6 linked regions of the Ovis aries genome follow. The protein of the gene in region 1 binds, or shares a complex with, the protein of each later gene. Links are inferred from orthologs where the notes say so. Each region holds a gene or a part of one and is shown in the gene's direction. Other genes may lie near its edges.

Region 1 (2,622 bases):
AGGCATTATAATGAGAGGTGGAAAGTTGTAGGTCAGGAGTCAGCAGATCTTTCCTGGGAGGGACCCGGGAGTGGACATTTCGAACTTCACAGAGGACTCCTCCACTCTGCCAGGGTAGCAAAAGTAACTACAATACGTAAACCAACAAGCATGGCCATGTTCCAATAAAACTTTATTTACAAAACCAGGCTGTGGGCTGGATTTGGCCTGCAGGCCACAGTTTACTGAGGTTACATTGCTTGGAGCTGGAACTTTACTGGTGGTTCAGTGACTTAAGATTTTGTGCTCCCAGTTCAGGGGATGGGAGTTCAATCCCTGGTCAGGGAACCAGATCCCACATGCTGCAACCAAGACCCAGTGCAACTAAATAAATAAATAACACACACAGAGTTAAAAAACAAAAAAAGATGCTTGGAGCCAGCTTGCCTGGGTTCAGAGCCTGACTCGGCCTCTCTCTAGCTGTGGGCCCTTGGCAAGAAAACTTCGTGGTGTTTCTTTGTTCCCTCTGGCTCCAGGGGAGGCCCCTTCCTTGCCTGCCCCTGGCTCCTTGGTGCTCCTTGGCTCACAGCTGCATCATTCATCTCTGCCTCTGTTGTCACAGGGCTTCTTCCCTGGGTATCTCTTTGTGTCCAAATTTCCTCTTTTGAGGACCTCAGTCACTGGATTGGTGCCCACTCCAGCCCAGGATGACCCTTTCTTAATTTAATTAATTGATTTGATTAATTTGCAAGTGCCATGTTTCCAGCTAGGGTCACAGCACAGGTGCTGGGGGTTAGGACTCAGCTGTCTCCACCCTCTGGATTTGGGGGATGAAGAAGTTCATCTGGTGAAGCCTCAGGCCCTGCCTGGGCCCCTGGGGGCCCCTGTCGGTGTCCGCTGATTGTCAGGTCACTGTCACCCACATGATCCTCTTGCAGCCAAGGTTAATGCCTGTCTGGAAAGCGGAGAGCCAAGATGCCAAACCCTGGGCTGGTTCCCCGCCACTCCCTCCCTCCACCCTGTGGCCAGGTTTGCCCTTAACGGCCCCCACCTAGGCATGGCTATGCCCGCTGGCAGGACATCCAGAACGACCCGAGATACATGATCCTCAATGAGCCCTTCAAGTCTGAGATCCACAAGGGCAACTACCTGGAGATGAAGAACAAGTTCCTGGCCCGCAGGTTCAAGGTCAGTCCTTGGCAGGGGCCAGAGGTTGAAGGTTAGGGGGCCGCAAGAGGATGGGTTATGAGAAGGCCTGGGGCAAAGAAACGAGCAAGCATTTCTTATACCCTGCCCGAATATCCGGGTGTGGGCCAGACCATCCATGAAAGGGAATTGTTGAGTCAGTCAACCAACAGGTGCTGGCTCCTTGCTCTGAAGCCAGACCCCGCTAGGCGAGCGTCCCTGCTCTGGGTAATGGGTGCAGGGGATCCAGCTTGAGGAGGGCTCTGAGGGGTGGCCAAGAGAATGGACAACAACTGGGTGGAGAGGGGCTGTCTTCCTTCCTTCCTTTCTTTCAGAGCCCTGGCCGGTGGGAGTGGGTGCTGTTGGGGAGGCAACCAGGCCAGCACTCAGTCCCTCCCCTCACCCTGACCCCCCCTCACCGCACCCCCACCAGCTGCTGGAGCAGGCGCTGGTCATTGAGGAACAGCTCCGGAGGGCCGCATACCTCAACATGACCCAGGACCCCAACCATCCCGCCATGGCCCTCAACGCCCGCCTGGCCGAGGTGGAGTGCCTTGCCGAGAGCCACCAGCACCTGTCCAAGGAGTCTCTCGCGGGAAACAAGCCTGCCAATGCTGTTCTGCACAAGGGTGAGTGAGCCCGTCCCCTGGAGATGGGCCCACAGCTTGCGTCTGCCCAGTGGCTCCTTGGCAGTAGGTGGGGGTGTGGGGCTTGGGACCTCAGCCCCAAGGGCACAGCCTCCAAGCCAGATGGGACAGACTGTCACCCAGCCTCTGCTCTTACCTGCCGGAAAAGTGAGGGCCTTGCTTTTCTGGCTTTTTTCTGAAGGTCAGCGCTGTGTAGGCCCTGGGTGGGGGGGTAGGTGATATAGCAGAATATTAAGTTGTACAGGCTTGTTTATTGAGCCCAGACAATATGCTTTATTTCTATTTTTTAACTTATTTTAGTGAAAGAGATAAGGACCCTTTAAAGTTTTTTAGTTTTTATTGACATATAATTGATTTATTATGTTTTGTTACTTTCTGCTGTACAGCAAAGTGAATCAGTTATACATATAGATCCGACTCATTGGAAAAAATCCTGATGCTGGGAAAGATTGAGGGCAGGAGGTGAAGGGGGTGACAGAGGATGAGATAATTAGATGGCATCATCTACTCAATGAACATGAGACTGAGCAAACTCTGGGAGATATTGAAGGACAGGGGAGCTTGAGCATGCTGTAATCCATGAGGTCACAAAGAATCAGACACAACTGAACGACTGAACAACTCTTAGATTCTTTTCCTTAAAGGTCATTACAGAGTATTGAGCAGAGTTCCCTGTGCTGTATAGGAGGTCCTTATTGGTTATCTATTTTTTTTTGAATATTTATTTGGCTGTGTCAGGTCTTAGTTGCGGCATGCGGGATCTTTGTTGTGGTGTGTGGCCTCAGAGTTGTGGTGGGAAAGCTTAGTTGCT
Region 2 (3,500 bases), on another chromosome or scaffold:
ATGAGTCTCATTTTACCTGGATGAGTCTCAGCCTTCCTGAAAATTAATGGTCAGTGATGAAATTACTGGCATTGGAGCAGAAGGTTTATGGTAGAAAATGTTAGAAAGTAGAGTCTTTAGAAGGATTGAGCTGTTTCCACTAAAAAAAAGGAGTGATTGATTCATAGTTGGTGTTAGACCTGTGTAATCCTTTTAAAAGGAATATTGTTTTTGAAATTGATTACTGCTTTCTAAAACACATATGTATAAATTTGGATTTGCTTTGAAATGTATCTCTTTTATTCTGGCAGACAGTTCTCTTGAGAGTAGTGGTAGGGGACATTGTATACTTTGTGTTTGGTAACCTTGATCTAACCAGTTGTAATTACACAATTCTGACATTTATTTTTCTTCACAGAGGCCCCATAAAGCCACTGCTGAAGAAATGACGAAATACCACAGTGATGAGTACATCAAATTTCTACGTTCAATAAGACCAGATAACATGTCTGAGTACAGTAAGCAGATGCAGAGATGTACGTTTCTTTGTTAAAAGTATATATTAGGAGGGATAAGTATAAATAAGTACTTTCAGAACTTGCAATTAGAGTTACCTAAATCTAGATATTTTCCTGATCTAATTATTTTTATTATTTATTTATTTTTAAAAGTCCCTGTGACAATACTAAAGCTGCTTTAAAAAAAAAAAAAAAAAAATAGCCTACCTGAAGCTTATTGGTCTGCCGAACTGCCAAAGAGCTATTTGGATGTTCTTTGCTCTTTGGTTTGGTTCCATGTTAACTTTGAGATAGTGGATGTTGGTAGGGAAACCTCCTTCCCCTGCTTTTAAAAATATGACTGTACTTTGGCAGTAGTCTGGTGTGTATGTTTCTTGTCTTCTATTTGTGTGCTTTAATCCAGACTATTCCAGAAAGTTCCAAAAAAGCAAAACTTGAATTTACCTCTTGTGGGCAGCTGTTTACATTGCATTTACAACTATCTGTTGGTGCTGCTTAAGTTACTTCAGTTGTGTCCGACTCTGTGCAACCCCATAGACAGCAGCCCACCAGGCTCCCCCGTCCCTGGGATTCTCCAGGCAAGAACACTGGAGTGGGTTGCCATTTCCTTCTCCAATGCATGAAAGTGAAGTTGCTCAGTCGTGTCCGACTCTTAGTGACCCCATGGTCACTATCATTATATTAAATATTGAGTAATCAGAGATGATTTAAATATATGGGAGGATGTTCCATTGGTTGTATGAAAACACTGTATGAGGGATTTGAGCATCCCCAGAATTTGCTATCATCCGGGTCCTAAAAACAATACCTTGTTGATACCAAGGGACAGTTGTACGTATATCTGTATTTCCCTTTGTTGTATCAATGAAGCTTTTGACTCTCTTCTACACAGTGTTATCTTTTGTAGATATTTTATTATTAGAGATTGAATGCAAGAAGATAGAGTGCAAGATGTCTTTCTAAAATGACTAGAACAATGTTTTTTAAAGCTTGATACTGGCATTCATTCCGATGTTTTTATTGATGGACTTCATTAATGATTTTGTTAAAACAGTATTATTTGTTCAGTAATACTAAATTAAGTGTAGTTGCTAGACATCTTATAAATTCATAGAATTTGATGTACATTTTGTTTATCTCATTTGATTCAGTAAGATGTTGTATTACAAATATTAATAGATATTATTTGCCCCTGTTTTTTCAATGGGGATTTAGGCTTAGATTAAGTCATAGTTAGCCCTAAGGTAAAATGAACTAACAGGATTGGTTTTAAATTTACATAATACTGAATTGTATTAAGATAATGATCATATCTGAATAGCAGGAAGATAAAATGTATATGTTAAAATAAATTAAGGATGTACAAACCTATACAAAGTAAGTAATGACCCTTTTTCTTGAAGAGGATATAAATTGAGGGGTGAGGAGAACTGAGAATGGGTTGTACAATCTGTGTCCATTTCATCCTCTCAGTACCAAGAAGCTAAATATGTTGTGATGTGCTGTGTATCTATATTCGTGTGCTGTCTCCTTGTGCCTTAAGTATCTCTTTCATCTGTATCTTGGCTGTCATCAGCTTACGGAATTCTTACCATCTTTTAAGATTAACACTAACCATGGATGTGGGCAACCAACTGTTACATTTTTTTGGTGATCAGTACATTTCAAAGTTATGGATATTCTGTATACTTAAAGGAGTTTTAAAAAATGTAAATCATAAAGTAAGTGAGCTTAAACTTTTTAGGATTTTAATTAATTTACTGCTCTATATTTAAGGAGAAATGCCTAGGAAATTTAACCTCGTATTTTAATTAAATAACCCCAAATACCTTTTCTATTTTGATAGCTACTGATTTGTTTAAAAAGCAGATATTTTCCATAGATAATCATGTGAAGAATTGGTGGTGGTATTTCAGACCTTATATTTTAACTGCCTTGGATAAAATTGCAAACTTTACTACTATGATGTGTATGTTTTATGATTGCATCAAACACATGTTATTTTTAGGATATAGTTTTTGTAAGAAAAGGCTTTCATTGATTCACAGAATGGATTGAAATTAATGAAATCCGTCTTCCACAGTTAATGTCGGAGAGGACTGTCCAGTGTTTGATGGACTTTTTGAGTTTTGTCAGCTTTCAACTGGTGGCTCAGTTGGTAAGTGTCTTGATTTCGTCAAATTTAGAAGTTGATTTAAACTTGTGTGTATTTTTTGAGATATTTGTTTGAAACAAGCTTTAATAGTGTCTGATTTTAATAACAAAAGTAGTATGTGTATAGTATGTTTATAGCTGTCTACAGTTACAGTTGTTTTCAGTGGCGCGCACCCCCCCACCCAGTTTTGTGATCATAATGTCTCAAACTTTTTATTTGCAGCTTTTTACTTCACTTGCATTTCCAGTTAGAGACTTCTTTTTCCTCCCTTTCTTCTAGCTACCGTTGTCACTACCACTTTCCAACTGTGTGCTCTTATGTAACCAGATCACAGCTACAGGAGAATAGTCACCTAAAGAGAAGCTGTTAGTGCCCATGGCAGTGGTCCTCTTATGATTTTATACTCATTTGCTTATGCATGACATCCTCTTTCCTCTAGGGCTTTTGTCTAGTTATAGTAACTTTTAATTTTGAACATTTAAACATTTCTCCTATCTTTAATTGTTAGCTGGTGCTGTGAAGTTAAACCGACAACAAACTGATATGGCTGTTAACTGGGCTGGAGGATTACATCATGCCAAGAAGTCAGAAGCATCAGGATTCTGTTATGTTAATGATATTGTGCTTGCCATCCTTGAATTACTAAAGTAAGTTCATTGTGTTTGACATTTTTCCTGTAAAAAGTGTTTTAATTCATAGTAAAAACCTGTGCCTTTTTTAAAACATGAACAATGGGTTGAAAATAGTGGATAAATCATGTACAGATTCATTCCAAACCATTGTAAAAATGTAGGAAATTTGGCTAGTTCTTGGATTATTAAGAATGAGAACTGCATATTGATGTCTGA
Region 3 (3,953 bases), on another chromosome or scaffold:
TATTGGACAGTGCTACTCTAGAGTATTGGTCCCCTGAGAGCAGGGTAGGAAAAGGATGATATTAATTTACCCCCGAACTAACACTTCGCTGAACATCCTTGACGGAACCAGCCTAAAGCTGATCACAAGCGATCCTGGGAAGAGGGGTGTCGCTTGTACCTTCACTTCTAAAGGAAGGAGGGAGGGAATGGGTGTATCCTTTACCTCTGGGGCAATAAGAATTCTCACTAGATCCAGATGTATCTGAAAGTCTGTAGCTAATAAAAGATATTTGCAAAGCAGGGCGATTAAAAATGGCAGAAAAGGGCGGGCATCTTGTGTCTTTTGAGAAGATTTACTATTTAAGGAGAACTCCAAGAAATAATACCTTCAAAAGCTTCATCATCTGATGTAAAATAAATTTCATGATTGCAATTCAGTCAGATTTGAGAAGTGGGCTGTGGTGGGGTAGGAAGAGGGTCAAAAATTGCAATGTAATCTCCAGGAGAGAAGAAACTTGGTCAAGTTTATTCTTGTCTTAGCGCCTAGAACAGTGCTCGCCACACAGCAGGCGCTTTTTAAATATTTGAACGAGTTAAGATGCAAAATTAGGTGGATGAGACGGTGTGTTTTTCGCGGGAGGAGGCCTTTGGCTTTTGTCCAGTGTCAAAGGAGTCTAGGCCGCCAAGGGGTTAACAACCACTTAATACCGACAGGGACGTGAAATTTATTTGAAATCAATGTCAAGAATTGGTTGATCTTATTCTGGGGAGAAGGCAGACCTCGGCGTCTGGAATGATCTACGTGCTTAAAAATACCACTCGCCACCATTTTCTCCAGGTAATTTTCCATCCCTGCCCCCACAGTCAAGGAGGGGGGGGGGCGAAAAAGTAATTCCGCAATCCTACCTAGCTTTAGAGAAAAAAAAAAAAAAAGAAAAAATGAATCGGTACAGCAACAAATCTCCAGGCATCGCCAGCGCAGCAGAAGAAGGGGACCCAGGTGGGCCTCGGGCACTGCCGGGACCCCAGCCCCCCAAACTTTGCCAAGTTGCGGGCGCCGAGTGCGCCCGGAGGCGCGGGGCGCGGCCGCGGGCGGCACCGCCCCCTGACGCCCGGCCGCGGCGCGCCGGGCCGCCCCCTCCCGGCCCCGGCCGGCCCCGCTGGCTCCGCTCAAAGTTTGCGGCCGCCCCTGCGCCCGCGCGCCCGCCCGATGTATGGGTGATATACTGCAGCGGGTGTCAGGGTGAGGGACGGCCATATTTGCCGGTGCGGCCCGAGCCGTCAACAACAAAAAGTGCGCGGGAGCTCGGCGGGCGCACGGACGGGCGCACGGACGCCAGGACCGCCTCGCCGCCGCCGGGTCTCGCCGCCGCCGCCGCCCTCGCGGGCCGGGCCCCGCTGCGCCCCGGCGCGCCCCGCCGCTCGGGGGGATGTCTTACAAACCGAACTTGACCGCGCACATGCCTGCCGCCTCCCTCAACGCCGGTGAGTGAGTGCGCCTCGCGGGCTGCGCGCGCCGCGCCCCAAGTGCAGCCAAGTTGGGGGCTCGCGCGCCCGGCCCCGGCCCCGGCTCCCGGGAGCCCGCGGCGGCCGGGGTCGGCGGGCACCGGGTCCCGGCCCGGGGCAGCGCGGCCGCCGCCGCCATGATTCCGGCGCGCGCGCTGCCAAAGTTCGCGGGTGCGACCCGCGCCGCGCCGGGCCTCGGGTCGGGCCGGGGCTGGGGCCCGGGTCGCGGGCGGCCGCCGCGGTCCCCCCCACGCCGGCGGCCCCGGCTTGTGGGGAGCGCGGCGAGCGAGGGCGGGGGAGGCTTTCTCGGCTCCTTTTTCCTCCGGCTTTTGGGCGGCTCGGCGAGGGCCCCTGCCGGCGGGAATCGGGAGCGGCCCGGTCGCGCCGGGAGCGGGGCGCCGGGAGCGGGGCGCCGGGAGCGGGGCGCGGGTCCGCCCTTGGGGACCTGAGGGGCAGGCCCGGGCGGGGGGTCCGGGAGGCAGGGGTGCACGTGAGCAAGGCCGGGCCACGCGCAGGCGGCGCTGCGGGGCGGCGAGAGCGCCAGGTTGCAGCCGCTCCCGAGGGCGCGGGGCCGCTGGGGTCACCGGCGGTGCAGGGGAGGTGGTCTGTGGACGCCCGCCCGGCCTGGCGTGGGGGAGCAGGTGCCCAAAACGGGGCGCACGGGAGGTCCCCTCAGGCGTGCGCGAAGTGAGAGAAGTTGAAGAAGACCGGGGGCTTCGGAGTTGCCTGCAGGCGGAGGGCGGGGGAGGCATTGAGCCGGGGTCCCGGCTTGGAGCCCCCAAGTCTAGGTTTAGAGGGGCCTCCTCCAGGAGCAGTGCTCTCCGTGTGCTGGGGCTGAAGCTGGGCGGTCCCAGAAAACTCCTGCATAAGTTGTCCGGAAGCTTTAGGCTGAGTCTGGGGGTCTTGCCTCAGAGACCGGGGCGGGGGCGGGGTGTGTGTGTGGCAAGGGGGCACGCGGGATGTGTGTGGCTGGTGGTAAAATTTTGTGGGGTTCGTAGGTGACTGACTGCCCCCTCTCACCGAGGTTCTCCTTTAGACTCTTGGTGGGAAACTTCCAAAAAAGCGAGGTGCATGGGGGTAGGGGTGGAGGCAGGGGCTTGGCAGGAAGGAAATGGGCCTCCCTGGTCAGAAGTGCCACGCTGGCAGTTGGCCGAAAGTTTTGGGCCTTGTCTTCTAATGTTAACTCGATAACTCCAAAATCTGAAGGGCGCCCCAGAAAAGCACTAAGTGTATGTCCATGTACGTATATACCTATACGTAGGTGTATATATGTGTGTGTGTGTTTAACTTCTTGGACAGAGATTTGGGGATTGGAAAGGGTTAAGATTCAGGGTGTGGATGGCTGTGGGGGTAGATAGTTTAGTTGGTCAAGTGTGGGCTCTGTCTGAGCCCCAAGAGCAAACGGCCCCTATTTTCAGCTGAAATGTTCTCATCTCTCGGGTCTGCACACCTTAAGAGGCAGGCTTTGTGGCCAATGTTTCTCACTGCCTCCCTCATCTGACTCTGGGGTGGGATGGGTGGAGGGTCTTGCCGCCGGCCCAGGTGGGCAGGAAGTCTCAGGTTCCCCTGGTGCAGTTGAGGCAGGGACCCTGAACCTGGCCCTTTGGGGACTGGGGTCCCAGAGGGAGCAAGCCACCCGCTTAGGCACCCTGAAGCCCTGCTCTGGGCTGGCTAGCACCTGTGCCCAGATTGTCTTCCTTCTCCTGTGGTGAACTCCAGGAGGAGCGCTGAGGTCTCCAGATCTCTGGTGTTCGGGTGAGGGGCCACCTGCCCCCTGCCCTGAGCGTGGACCCCTTTAGAAAGCCCGCATCTCCCTGAGCCATTTGCATCCAAGATGGACTCTCCACTGCCGCTCCTCCGGCTTCCTTGTCATCATCCCTCACGCCCTCCAGCCCTGCCTCCTGCTCGCGAGTTGCCAAGCCGCGGCCTGGCCGGCGGTGGCAGTGGCGGAGTTAGACAAAGCCCCCGCCTCCCCGCCAGAGAGCCCCCCCAGGCGCCCCAAGTGGCGGGAAGGCCGCCAGCTCCCCAGGCCCGGGCCGCTCTTTGTCTGGCGTGGGGGCGGGGAGCCGCGCCTGGCCCCAGGAGCTGCTGGCCTTTGCCAATCCCTCCCTCGGCTCAGGGCCCTCCCTGGTCCCCGCACACTGCGCGCATTGTCTGCGATGCTCTGAGACGACCGTGCTCACGCCCTGTCTGGTTTTCTCCTTGGCCTTGGGCAGCTGGACCGCCGGCCCTCCCTGTGTCTGCAGGAAGCTGTGGGCATGAGTGGAACTTGGGGTCCCTGCGCCAACTCTTCCCAGGGCCACAGGCACCCCCCTCTGAACACTGAGCAAAGGACTGGCTCAGAGTCGGGTCGACTACCACATCACCCAGGTGACAGGCAAATCAAGCTCTGGGCTCTTGCCTGACTTCTCCACACTGCTTCCACGCCTGCAACCCATTCCTTCTCCCTCTCTCAGGAACTAACCC
Region 4 (3,500 bases), on another chromosome or scaffold:
GATCTTTCTGAGGTGAGGAGCAGGTAATAGTTCGACACATTCCACCTTTTCCATGCATGTAAATTGCGTCCAAATGTGTGAGTATCAACAGAGACTAAGGGCCACATGTATTGTGTAACAGAAACCCTTTCAGATAATAAAATGATTGATGAAGAGAGGAAGCTGATACTAGTGTCAGTGGAATTAATTTGAATATACCTTAATGGAATTACCTCTTACTCCATTGAGGTGACAATCACTGCCCTATACTTTGCAATATTTTTTCATAGAAACTTCAGACTCTTCTCAGCTATTTTTATGACGAGATGTTAAGAAAAGACTCAAACTCTCAAAGCCTGCGGATCTGTAACCTTTGAGGTCTGGGCAGGCCCTGTGGTCTCTTCAGTAGCCTTGTAGGGGTTTCTAGGTTGTTCAGCTGTTGGCACTTGCTGATGTATGTAGTGGTTTCTGCTGTGAAGTGACAGCTGTCCAAAAGCTTTCACTTTTTAAGAAGCATGTTTTAGTTTTAATTCCCAGTTTCCCAGCCCAGCATGAAGTTTTAAGATATGCATTTCAGTTTGGTGGATATTGAACCCCAGGCTCGTGTTGTGTAATCTAGGTGAATTTTAGATACTTGATTGAATGTATGTAGGTGGAAACTCAAACCAGAATGTTTCTTGCCTGCCACCATGCTGTCCTCCCGTCCCCATTACACTGTATTTTCCTTCCCCTCTGCATCTCAGATTGTGGAAGCTACACCTGTACACTTTGCTGTTTATGAAACTTCACTTTTTTAAAAAATTTTCATATAGTAAGTAGCTTTGTTTTTAATAAAGAGTTTTAAATAAGGTGTTAGCATTTAAATTCAGTCTCTCATAACTGACTCTTGTTTTGTTCCTTCTTCAGACTGTCTGTCTGTGGGATATTAATGCAGGACCAAAGGAAGGCAAAATTGTGGATGCTAAAGCAATTTTTACCGGCCACTCGGCTGTTGTAGAGGATGTGGCCTGGCACCTGCTGCATGAGTCCTTGTTTGGATCTGTTGCTGATGATCAGAAACTTATGATGTAAGGTGGAAAATTGAGTGGGGTTTTGTTATATGGGTGTCCTGAATGACCATCAGTGATTGTGGTGGCTTTTAAATTGTGTCTTGGCCTTCAAAAAAAGAAAAACAGCTTTAGTGAGGTATAATTGACATGAGAAGCTATAAATAGGGATGGCCTTTTTACGTAAAAGTTACTGTGCTGTATGATTGAACACAACTTTTTATTTAGAAAAAGAAAAAAACAGGTACGTGCACATGAGGAAACATGCTTGGGGCAGTGGTATGTATCAAAATCGGGGATCAGGGTAACTTGCCTTGAAGTTGAGGGAGGAGAGTGATTGTGCATCAAGGCATGGCTACAGGGCTGCATTCAAGCACCTGGAATGCTTTTTATCTCATAAACTAGCATCTGAGGCAAACAAAGCAAAATACTGAATTTGACTAGGCTAGGTTATAGATATGAAACAGTAGTCTCTAGTATTTTGTGCATGCTTGAAATAGTTGGTAATCCAGATAGGGACGTAATGAACAAGAAAGCAGAGGTAGCCCTAGTTTGTTCTGTGCAGGTTTAGAGCATATCACCTAGTGGTTGGAAGTCCAAGTTGCCAACTCTGCATGGTTAGTGTCCCTGAAAGGCAAGTTAGCGAGAGAGGAGTGGCATGGAGTGGTGCTGATGTGGGCACAAGTGTTGGGGAGGGAGGTGGGGCAGGGTTGAGTGGCCTGCTCTTGCGCTGTGTGCCTTGTACCTTTGTGTTTTAGATGGGACACTAGGTCCAACACCACCTCCAAGCCGAGCCACCTGGTTGATGCGCACACTGCCGAGGTCAATTGCCTGTCCTTCAATCCCTACAGCGAGTTCATTCTTGCAACTGGCTCTGCGGATAAGGTTTCTAAGTTTTTGCATATTTGGTGTTTACAAACCTACTTGTCTTTGTTACTACAATATTTTAAAATTCTTATGTAAAGTGCAGAAACAAATTCCTTTTCATTTTATTTTTCTTCAGACTGTAGCTTTATGGGATCTGCGTAACTTAAAATTGAAACTCCATACCTTTGAATCTCATAAAGATGAAATTTTCCAGGTATGTGACAGTTTTCTGGTGTCTCTGTCAGATTTTAGTAACTTTTTACTAGAGAGAAGTTTATAAATTTTTTTCTTTTACATAGTGGACTTGGGACATTGGGTTTTTGTTTTGTTTTTGGCTATGCCATGTGGCTTGTGGGATCTTAGTTCACCAACCAGGGATTGAACCCTGGCAGTGAAAGCCTAGAGTGCTAACCATTGGACCACCAGGGAATTCCCTGTGTTTGTTTGTTTTTTTTTTTTTAAAGCTCCTTGCCTACTGTGTAAGTAAACTAGTGAGAAATAACTTGGAGATTTCTAGATATTGTTAGTTCAGAAGTAAAAGGAACAGTCTTTGCAAAATAGGATCAGTTTAAAAAGTAAAGATAGTTTCCTGGTAGTCTAGTGGTTAGGATTCAGCACTGTCATTGCTGTGGCCTGGTTTAAATCCCTGGTCATGGAACTGAGATCTCAGAAGCTGAGCAGTACAGCCAAAAATAAGTAAATTAATTTTTTAAATGAAATCTTATATATGGTTTAAAATAGAGATGTGCATAGGCTAAGGTACACTTCATGTTAAAAGAAATGTTAAAAGCTTCTGGGGTGGTTTGGGAGCTAAGTTTATTGGGAGCCCTAGCAGAGTTACCCTTGAGGAATATGACCCTCCCAGGGGAAGGCTGAAGAGATGTTTCATTTAAGAGCACCTGAAGGGACAGCACAAAGAGTGAAGGCTTGTAGGCCAAGCAAAGGGTACAGAAGATGAAATGGGAAAATATCTAGGATTAGAACAACAGCCACAGACCCAGTAATGGATGATTCTTTATGTTTTCAAATATGTGTTGCTAGGTCCACTGGTCTCCACATAACGAAACCATTCTGGCTTCAAGTGGTACTGATCGCCGCCTGAATGTGTGGGATTTAAGGTAACTCAGGATCTGGTGACAAAAATTGCATAAATATGCTAATATAGCAGATTATGTAATAATTCATAGACTAGAAGAGCGATTTGCTAACCCCAGTTTAATAAGTCTAAAATTAATCTTCAGTACCTTCCTAAAGAGTCTGTTCCATAAAATAGAAGTGAATCAGCAAATGGAATGTGAAAAAAATTGATGCAAATGTGAGTTTTGATTTTCTTTGTAATTAGGACTGAAGTCAGGGTTAGGGGTGCATGTGTGTTTTAACATCCAAACAATGGTATTGAAAAAACTCTTGCTATAGAAAGGGGTAAAGACGTCAGCTGTTTGTGTCTCCTTAGATTTCAACGTACATCTGCAGGACTAATCTTTTTCAGTTGTTTTTTTCCCACAGGTATGAGCTCTTCCTGTGGGTTGTGTAACTGCTGAGGATGAGAACAGGATAAGCACAGCCAATGCCATCAGAGCTTATGTTCTTCTGGGGGTTCATTATGGA
Region 5 (3,500 bases), on another chromosome or scaffold:
CAACCTGGTGGCTCAGTGGTAATCTGCCTGCCAGTGCAGGAGACATGGGTTCAGTCCCTGATTTGGGAAGATCCCACATGCCTCGGAGCAACTAAGCCCATGTGCCACAGTCATTGAGACTGTGCTCTGTAGAGCCGGAGAACCACAGCTGCTGAGCCCACGTGCTGCATACCTTAAAGCCCGTGGTCCGCAGCAGAAGGCACTGCAATAAGAAGCCTGAGCACCACAGCTAGAGAGTAGCCCCCATTCTCCTCAGCTAGAGAAAAGCCTGAGCAGCAGTGAAGACCAGCACAGCCAAATAGAAAAAGAAAATTAATGGATAAGCTAATTTTTACAGAGATGATGAGTTTAGTCTTTAATCTATAAAATGGGAATAATACTCCCTGTCTTAACTATTTTCCAGGGTATTTGTGAGAATCCAGTAAGAAAGTGATTGCAAAAGTGCTTTGACATCATAAAGTGTTCTGATGTGCAGGAGGTGAACTGTGACTTACAGTAATTCTGAGTAGTGATGATTATTCTTTCTGTTGTGGGAGTGAATTCCTTGGAGACAGTGAGGTGAGTCACCTCACTGGCCGATGTTCCCCAGTAGCTTTGGACTGACCCACTCACACTGTCTAATGCCTTTGGGTTCCAAGGGAAAAAACTGGGCCAGACAGACATCCTTAAGTGCTCATCTCACTACGGTCCCCTGCTTTTTGTTTTCTTTTGGAGTTACCCTTCCTTGATGTGGGAGAGAATCTTGGAGCCTAGAATGAACCAGACAGAATTTGCCTAGAAATTTGTTGTAAAAATCTGTGGGTTCTCCTGGGAGTGTGTGTCTAACTGTGTCACTGAAGCTGTCACTCTTTCTTCTTCAGGGGATGTTGGAAATTACTATTATGGACAAGGCCACCCAATGAAGCCTCACCGAATTCGTATGACTCACAATTTACTCCTTAACTATGGTCTCTACCGGAAGATGGAAATCTATGTGAGTTACTGGGAGCTTCACCCCTCCCTAGCCTCTTCAGCTCTGGTTCCCCATATATCATTCATTATCTCTTTTTTTTTCAATTACTCATGAAATGTGTTGAGTGACTGTTACGTGGCAGACATTGTAAATGGTAGAGATTGTTTTTTAACGTGCTCACTCTAGTGCTGGTGAACAACATGTACACAAATTGTACTAGAGTGTGTAAGGGCAATGACTTAAAAATGTGTAAGATTCAGGGATATTGAGGTGGAATGTGGAAGGGAGCCTTGGAATGTTTCCTAGAAGTGATAGCTAAACAGTGTTTTAAAGATTAAATAGAAATTAGCCTGGAGTTCAGGAGGGGACTAGCATTCTAGGCTGAGGGAAGAGCATATACAAAAAGGCAGAAAGGTAGGAACAATATGATGTGTTTAGGGAAATGTAAGTAGTTTAGTGTGCAAGTATTGCTGCAGTATAAAGTTGGCAAGTGTGAGAGAGGGGAGCTAGAGCTGGAGAGGTCAGCAAGAGTTGGGTGTGCTATATTAAGCAGTTTTGCTAGGCCAGGGTCAAAAAATCTAGTCCCTAAAAACTAAGTGATTGGAACTGTGTTGAACTAGATACCAAGTCTCTATAGTTACTGGAGCGTATGGACTTTCTAGCCATTTGGCCTGGCTCCAGCTGATGTCTTTTGCCACATCTTCCAGTTTTCCCTGATGGCTCAGCGGGTAAAGAAATCTGCTTGCAATGCAGGAGACACAGGAGACATGGATTCCATCCCTGGATTGGAAAGATCCCCTGGAGGAGGAAAATGGCAACCCGCTCCAGTATTGTTAACTGAAAAATCCCATGGGCAGAGGAGCCTGGTGGTCTGTAGCCCAAAGGGTCACAAAGAGTCAGACACGACTGAGTGACCAAGCACATAGTGGTTTTTAAAGAGAAGCCAGAACTCTGGATTATTACATAGAGTCTTCAAGGTTTAAAATGTTGGCCCAGGTTTGTTGGAAACATGTAGGAACAAAAGTGCATGAACATATCTGTGAGCCAAATTTGGTCCAGAGTTTCCCAATTTGAACTTTTCTGGAGGCTGTAAAAAACAAAAGAAGTGTTTATTCAAAACGTTCTGTTTATTTGTTCGGCTGTGCGGCTCTTAGCTGTGGCCCACAGCGTCTTCTGTCTGCATGGTGGTGTGCTGGCTCTTCAGGTGCAGCATTCAGGGCCTTTCACTGCGGCATGCAGGATCTATTTCCCTAACCCTGGGATTGAACCCAGGCCCACTGCATTGGGAACGTGACGTTTTAGTCACTGAATCACTAGGGAAGTCCCAAGTGAAGTATTTTAAATGAGAAATAGGAATAGGCATGCATTTTAGAAGCAGGGAGGCTAAGTTAGGAGGCTGTTGCAAGAGTCCAAATGAGAAAATAAGGAGGGGCTGGGGGCCTGTGTTGCCTTATGGTTAGAATGTAAGAGTTGATGAAGTCTGTGCCGACAGCTTACGTAACCTAGCAGCAGCAGCATCCTTCCCCACCATTCCAGAGACTGAAAGGAGAGGAATCTTCTGTCCCAGGCGACCGTGTCACGTCTCTGGAGCCCCTGGAGGCAGCTGGGGAAGCAAGGAGGGAAGGTAGATGGAGGAGCAGATGGAACTTGGGACCAGAGAGCATTTTCAGGTGTGAAGGGCATCTGGGAATGAAAAACATAAAAGATAGCAGAGGTTTTCAGGGACTCCAGGGAACAGACTAGTATTTAGATACAGAGAGGGTACCTGAATGTGGAATAGTAAGCACCAGGGCTCCACGGGGCTGCCTGTTGCACATCTCAGCCATGCTCACCTGGCCTCAGTTTGCCTCCCTCCCTGCCACTCCACCCTCAGAACCCTCCATTTCAGCCAGATCAGATTCTGCCTCTTTCCACCCCATTCTGATGGGGAGGATTATTTACTCCACCTAGTCATATCTTTCTCATTTTCAAGAGTTGCGTTAAGCACTGTTTCTTTTTTTCATTCAACAGATTTTTGTTGAGTACTTGTTATAACCCAGGGACTTTATTAACCTCCATGAGTGATACTGATATATTAATAATAAAAAAAGGGTCATATCTTTAAGTGAGAGGAGAAATTAACTAACATTTGTTGAAGATTGCTAGGTACCAAGCCAGGGCTACTGTTATTTACTTAATCTTTATAGCAACCTTGATTTTAATCACTCTCCGCTGTGCCTACCCTATACTATTTTTATTAAAGAAGAAAGCCCTTCCTAGCAACTTCCTAACAGATTTCCCTTTAAGTCTCATTGGGTCATTTGCCATACTTAGACCATTCACCAGCAATTTGATCCTTGGGGCTGGGTATACCCAACCAAATTGAGATCTGTTAAAAAGAGGGAAGGGAGAGAATAGCTCTTTGGGAAGTAACCAACCATGGCTGTCATAGGAGATAATAATACCTTATTGGAGATTACTTCATCTGTGTGGTATTCTTATTGTAAACTAAAGCAAAAGCCCAGTGTAATCTCTTGCTGAAATCGCTAGACCATGTTCTCTTTCATGT
Region 6 (3,500 bases), on another chromosome or scaffold:
CCTAGAGTCTGATTTCAATCTGCTTTTTGACCTACTCTCCCACTGTTTCCCCACATTTAAAGTCAGATTTAGATTTCAGTCCTAGTTCTGTTACTTAGTTAATCTTAGACCACCCCCACGGGCTATGGCCTGCCAGACTCCTCTGTCCGTGGAATTCTCCAGGCAAGAAGACTGGAGAGGGTAGCCATTCCCTTCTCCAGTTGATCTTCCTGACTCGGTGATTGAACCCAGGTCTCCTGCATTGCAGGCAGATTAACTGTCTGAGCCACCAAGGAAGTCAGTTTTCCCAAACCATCTTTAAATTAGAATATTACTTCATAGTATTAGAACCTTCATCTTTGCTTACCTCCCTTGGAATACTGTTTTTCAAAGCTCTTGTCCTCCTCTTCTGGGTTTTATCTCATTTTGAGACATTAGCTTACCTGATGTCAGTCCCTTTCTATTTTAATGAGGTAACCAGGAGTGTTCATATACCCAACAATTGGTTTTTTTCTCTCCAGCTCCTTGTAAAGGATGAATAATTAATTTTTATTTTATTCCGTCGGACTTTTTCCTCAAAAGTAATTGTAAATATTTGGCCAAGTTAAGAAATAATTATGAAATTAAGTGGTATGTGGTACCTGCCCTCAGCTCTATGGAAGATATGTTAAAAGTAAGGAAATATGGCTCTTAATGACTTCTTTCTCTCAAAACCTGTTGTAATAATGTCTTGTATATACGTGTATGTCACTGACTTTGTGGTCTCTCTTAGTTTACTAAACTGAATATTGACCATATGTTGCTATTACAGACCAGAAGGGAAAGACTTCAGTATTCATCGACTTGTCCTGGGGACACACACGTCGGATGAACAAAACCACCTTGTGATAGCCAGCGTGCAGCTCCCTAACGATGATGCTCAGTTTGATGCTTCACACTACGACAGTGAAAAAGGAGGTAGGAGTCCTAATTAAGGTGAAGGAAGGAATGATACTTATTTTGGTTATATTTTTGTGTCTCTGAAATATCATAAAAAAGTGGGTACAGTTTGATAAAGTAGCCTCTCAAGTTAAGAACAAGATATTAAGCTTTGGAAAGCCTGATTTTCAGTATAGATATTAGATATCAGAAGACAGGTAACATGTACTTGGTTCTGTACTAGTTCTGTAAACTTTCTTGAACTAAATTTGGTGGTAGGCAAATTTCAAGAAGCTAAAATCCACCATATATTATTGCCATGCATGCTTGCATTCTCAACATGGAAGATACTGCCCCTGGGGAATTGAATATTGATTCTCAGAGTGGGGTATATGTGAAAACAGTCTTATTCTTTGAACTGTTTGAAGCATAGATATACATAGCATGCATAAACAAATACACAGGTTATCTGTGGTATTAGAATTTCATTAAGGTGTCAGAATATCTTATAGGGCAATAATGGGGGAAAGAAAGATTGAAAAGCACTGGCTTAAATTACCCTTTCCAGGTTTAAGTGATAGAAAGATATTTGCTGTATAGTATATAAAAATTAAATGAGTGTTTAATTATATCCTAATTTTAGGTGGTAACCTTAGGGCTTAACTATTCATGAATTATTTTTTTCCCTTTCAGAAGAGATAGAAATGAGTGGGTTTCCTTTATTGTCCTTGAACTCAAATTATTACCAAAGGTAGAAGATAGACTTTCAGTATTGAGATTTGTGGCCCCAGAAAATGAATCTGTAATGTTTTCTTATCTTAGATTTCTCCTGATTAATGGAATCCATTCCTTTATCTAAGTTATTTTGGTTTCCAGTTATTTGCCAAGATTGTAATGTGCAGTTATTCTTTTGATCATTCCGTATTTAGCTTAGCAGAATGCAAAATAAGTTCTTAGGATAAGAGCCAGCAAACATGATTTTGCGTCACTGACCTGTGTGTGTGAACTATAGGATATGGTTACTGCAGCGGTATTCTCTGGGTAGGCATTAGTAGTGATGGAGGGGTCTCTGCTTAAATTGCAAGGGGCATAGGTTCAATCCCTGGTTGGAGAACTAAGATCCCATATGCCGCACAGCCAAAAATAGCAAATTTTTTTTGTTGTTGGAAAGAAAGAATCAGAAGACTAGGGCTTGGGACCCTGTTGCGCTGCTCACTAGCTGTGTAGTTTGAGGATAAATCTTTCAGCCTCCCTGAGCTTGTTTTCTTTTTATTAAAACAAACTGTCTTTAAATAGAATTTTTAGTTATTTAGGCATAAAGCAAATATTCTGATTGGTAATGTAATAAATCATCTTTAAAAATTGAAGCAGGGCTTTCCCTGGTGGTCCAGTGGTTAGGACTTCCTGCTTTTAGTGGGGAGTGGGGGACGTGCTGTTTGATCCCTGGTCTGGGAAATAAGATGTCACAAGCCCACGTAGTGCAGACAAAAAAAAATCGAAGCAACTGTGTGAACCCCTCACCACATAAATCTGTCCTTTATGGATCACTGTTAAATTGATAGTTTTCTAAATGATTTATCCCAATTATTGGATCACTCATTCAACAGATAACGTTAAGTACTTAGGCTAGGCAGTTTTTCTTTGTTCTGGGAATATAAGATAAAATATACTTCCCAGCCTCATGTATCCCAGCCATCTTTTTTGTTAGCATATGGGAATGTGCCTCCTTTTGATGGCTTATACTGTGCTGTAGTTAACCATCCCTCAATTAACATTTAAGTGGTTTCCAATCTTTTGACTTCAAAAAGTCTTTGTGCATGTATCTTGCATAGTTTTGCTGTAGAACAATTATCTAAATTGAATGTTGATTAATTTGCAAGGACATTTTCAAGTGTATTGGTACTGCTAAGTTGCCCTCCAAAAAACTCAATTTCACTAGTAGCAGATACATGGATGTCTGTTTCTGCATGCTTTTACCAGCATTGAATGCTGCGCGCTCATTTTACTTTGTTGTTGTTGGAGGGATGTTTTCTTTCTTGGTTTTGGTGTTTGTGTCATTTGGTTTTTAATGGCTGCTTCACGGGGCTTACAGAATCTTAGTTCCCCCACCAGGAATTGCATCAGCACCCTTGACAGCAAAAGTAGAGTCTTGACCACTGGACCTCCAGGGATTCCCTAACTTGCTTTTTAAGTTATTTGTGATGTTGGACTTATTTTAAAATATTTATCTTTTGTCTGTCTCTTGAACTGCCTATTTATGTGTTTTCCTCATTTTTTCTTTTGGGTTAACTATATATGTAATGTAAGTTATCCCTAACTAATAGGTTATAGATAATTTTTCCCCTGTTTATTTTATAATCTGTTAAAATTTATGACTGCTGGATCCTTGCTGCTGGGCAGGCTTTTCTCTAGTTACAGCAGGAGGGCCTCCTTGTGGTGCACTGGCTTCTCTCATCGCAGTGGTTTCTCTTATTGCGGAGCACAGGCTCTGGGGTGCATGGGCTTCAGTGGCTGTGGCTCCTGGGCTCTAGACCACAGGCTCAATAGTTGTGGCACATGGGCCTAGTTGCTTCGCAGCATGTGGGATCTTCTCAGATCAAGGC

The links.
Region 2: CHD5 (region 1) and HDAC2 share a complex: the UniProt entries of both Homo sapiens proteins name them as parts of the nucleosome remodeling and deacetylase (NuRD) repressor complex. The link is inferred for Ovis aries from reciprocal best matches to the Homo sapiens genes CHD5 and HDAC2.
Region 3: CHD5 (region 1) and CDK2AP1 share a complex: the UniProt entries of both Homo sapiens proteins name them as parts of the nucleosome remodeling and deacetylase (NuRD) repressor complex. The link is inferred for Ovis aries from reciprocal best matches to the Homo sapiens genes CHD5 and CDK2AP1.
Region 4: CHD5 (region 1) and RBBP7 share a complex: the UniProt entries of both Homo sapiens proteins name them as parts of the nucleosome remodeling and deacetylase (NuRD) repressor complex. The link is inferred for Ovis aries from reciprocal best matches to the Homo sapiens genes CHD5 and RBBP7.
Region 5: CHD5 (region 1) and HDAC1 share a complex: the UniProt entries of both Homo sapiens proteins name them as parts of the nucleosome remodeling and deacetylase (NuRD) repressor complex. The link is inferred for Ovis aries from reciprocal best matches to the Homo sapiens genes CHD5 and HDAC1.
Region 6: CHD5 (region 1) and RBBP4 share a complex: the UniProt entries of both Homo sapiens proteins name them as parts of the nucleosome remodeling and deacetylase (NuRD) repressor complex. The link is inferred for Ovis aries from reciprocal best matches to the Homo sapiens genes CHD5 and RBBP4.

Annotation. Positions count from the first base shown.
Region 1 is NC_056065.1:46,558,137-46,560,758, forward strand, and holds part of CHD5 (chromodomain-helicase-DNA-binding protein 5), read left to right. Parts: intron 1-1,034; coding exon 1,035-1,167; intron 1,168-1,597; coding exon 1,598-1,793; intron 1,794-2,622. UniProt on the Homo sapiens protein: ATP-dependent chromatin-remodeling factor that binds DNA through histones and regulates gene transcription. May specifically recognize and bind trimethylated 'Lys-27' (H3K27me3) and non-methylated 'Lys-4' of histone H3.
Region 2 is NC_056061.1:23,747,405-23,750,904, forward strand, and holds part of HDAC2 (histone deacetylase 2), read left to right. Parts: intron 1-397; coding exon 398-515; intron 516-2,580; coding exon 2,581-2,655; intron 2,656-3,160; coding exon 3,161-3,299; intron 3,300-3,500. UniProt on the Homo sapiens protein: Histone deacetylase that catalyzes the deacetylation of lysine residues on the N-terminal part of the core histones (H2A, H2B, H3 and H4).
Region 3 is NC_056070.1:52,346,833-52,350,785, forward strand, and holds the start of CDK2AP1 (cyclin-dependent kinase 2-associated protein 1), read left to right. Parts: upstream 1-1,153; 5' UTR 1,154-1,411; coding exon 1,412-1,466; intron 1,467-3,953. UniProt on the Homo sapiens protein: Inhibitor of cyclin-dependent kinase CDK2. Also acts as a component of the histone deacetylase NuRD complex which participates in the remodeling of chromatin.
Region 4 is NC_056080.1:15,052,134-15,055,633, reverse strand, and holds part of RBBP7 (histone-binding protein RBBP7), read left to right. Parts: intron 1-885; coding exon 886-1,046; intron 1,047-1,783; coding exon 1,784-1,910; intron 1,911-2,028; coding exon 2,029-2,106; intron 2,107-2,933; coding exon 2,934-3,010; intron 3,011-3,500. UniProt on the Homo sapiens protein: Core histone-binding subunit that may target chromatin remodeling factors, histone acetyltransferases and histone deacetylases to their histone substrates in a manner that is regulated by nucleosomal DNA.
Region 5 is NC_056055.1:235,253,498-235,256,997, reverse strand, and holds part of HDAC1 (histone deacetylase 1), read left to right. Parts: intron 1-403; exon of another isoform or gene 404-558; intron 559-860; coding exon 861-973; intron 974-3,500. UniProt on the Homo sapiens protein: Histone deacetylase that catalyzes the deacetylation of lysine residues on the N-terminal part of the core histones (H2A, H2B, H3 and H4).
Region 6 is NC_056055.1:234,977,801-234,981,300, reverse strand, and holds part of RBBP4 (histone-binding protein RBBP4), read left to right. Parts: intron 1-790; coding exon 791-936; intron 937-3,500. UniProt on the Homo sapiens protein: Core histone-binding subunit that may target chromatin assembly factors, chromatin remodeling factors and histone deacetylases to their histone substrates in a manner that is regulated by nucleosomal DNA.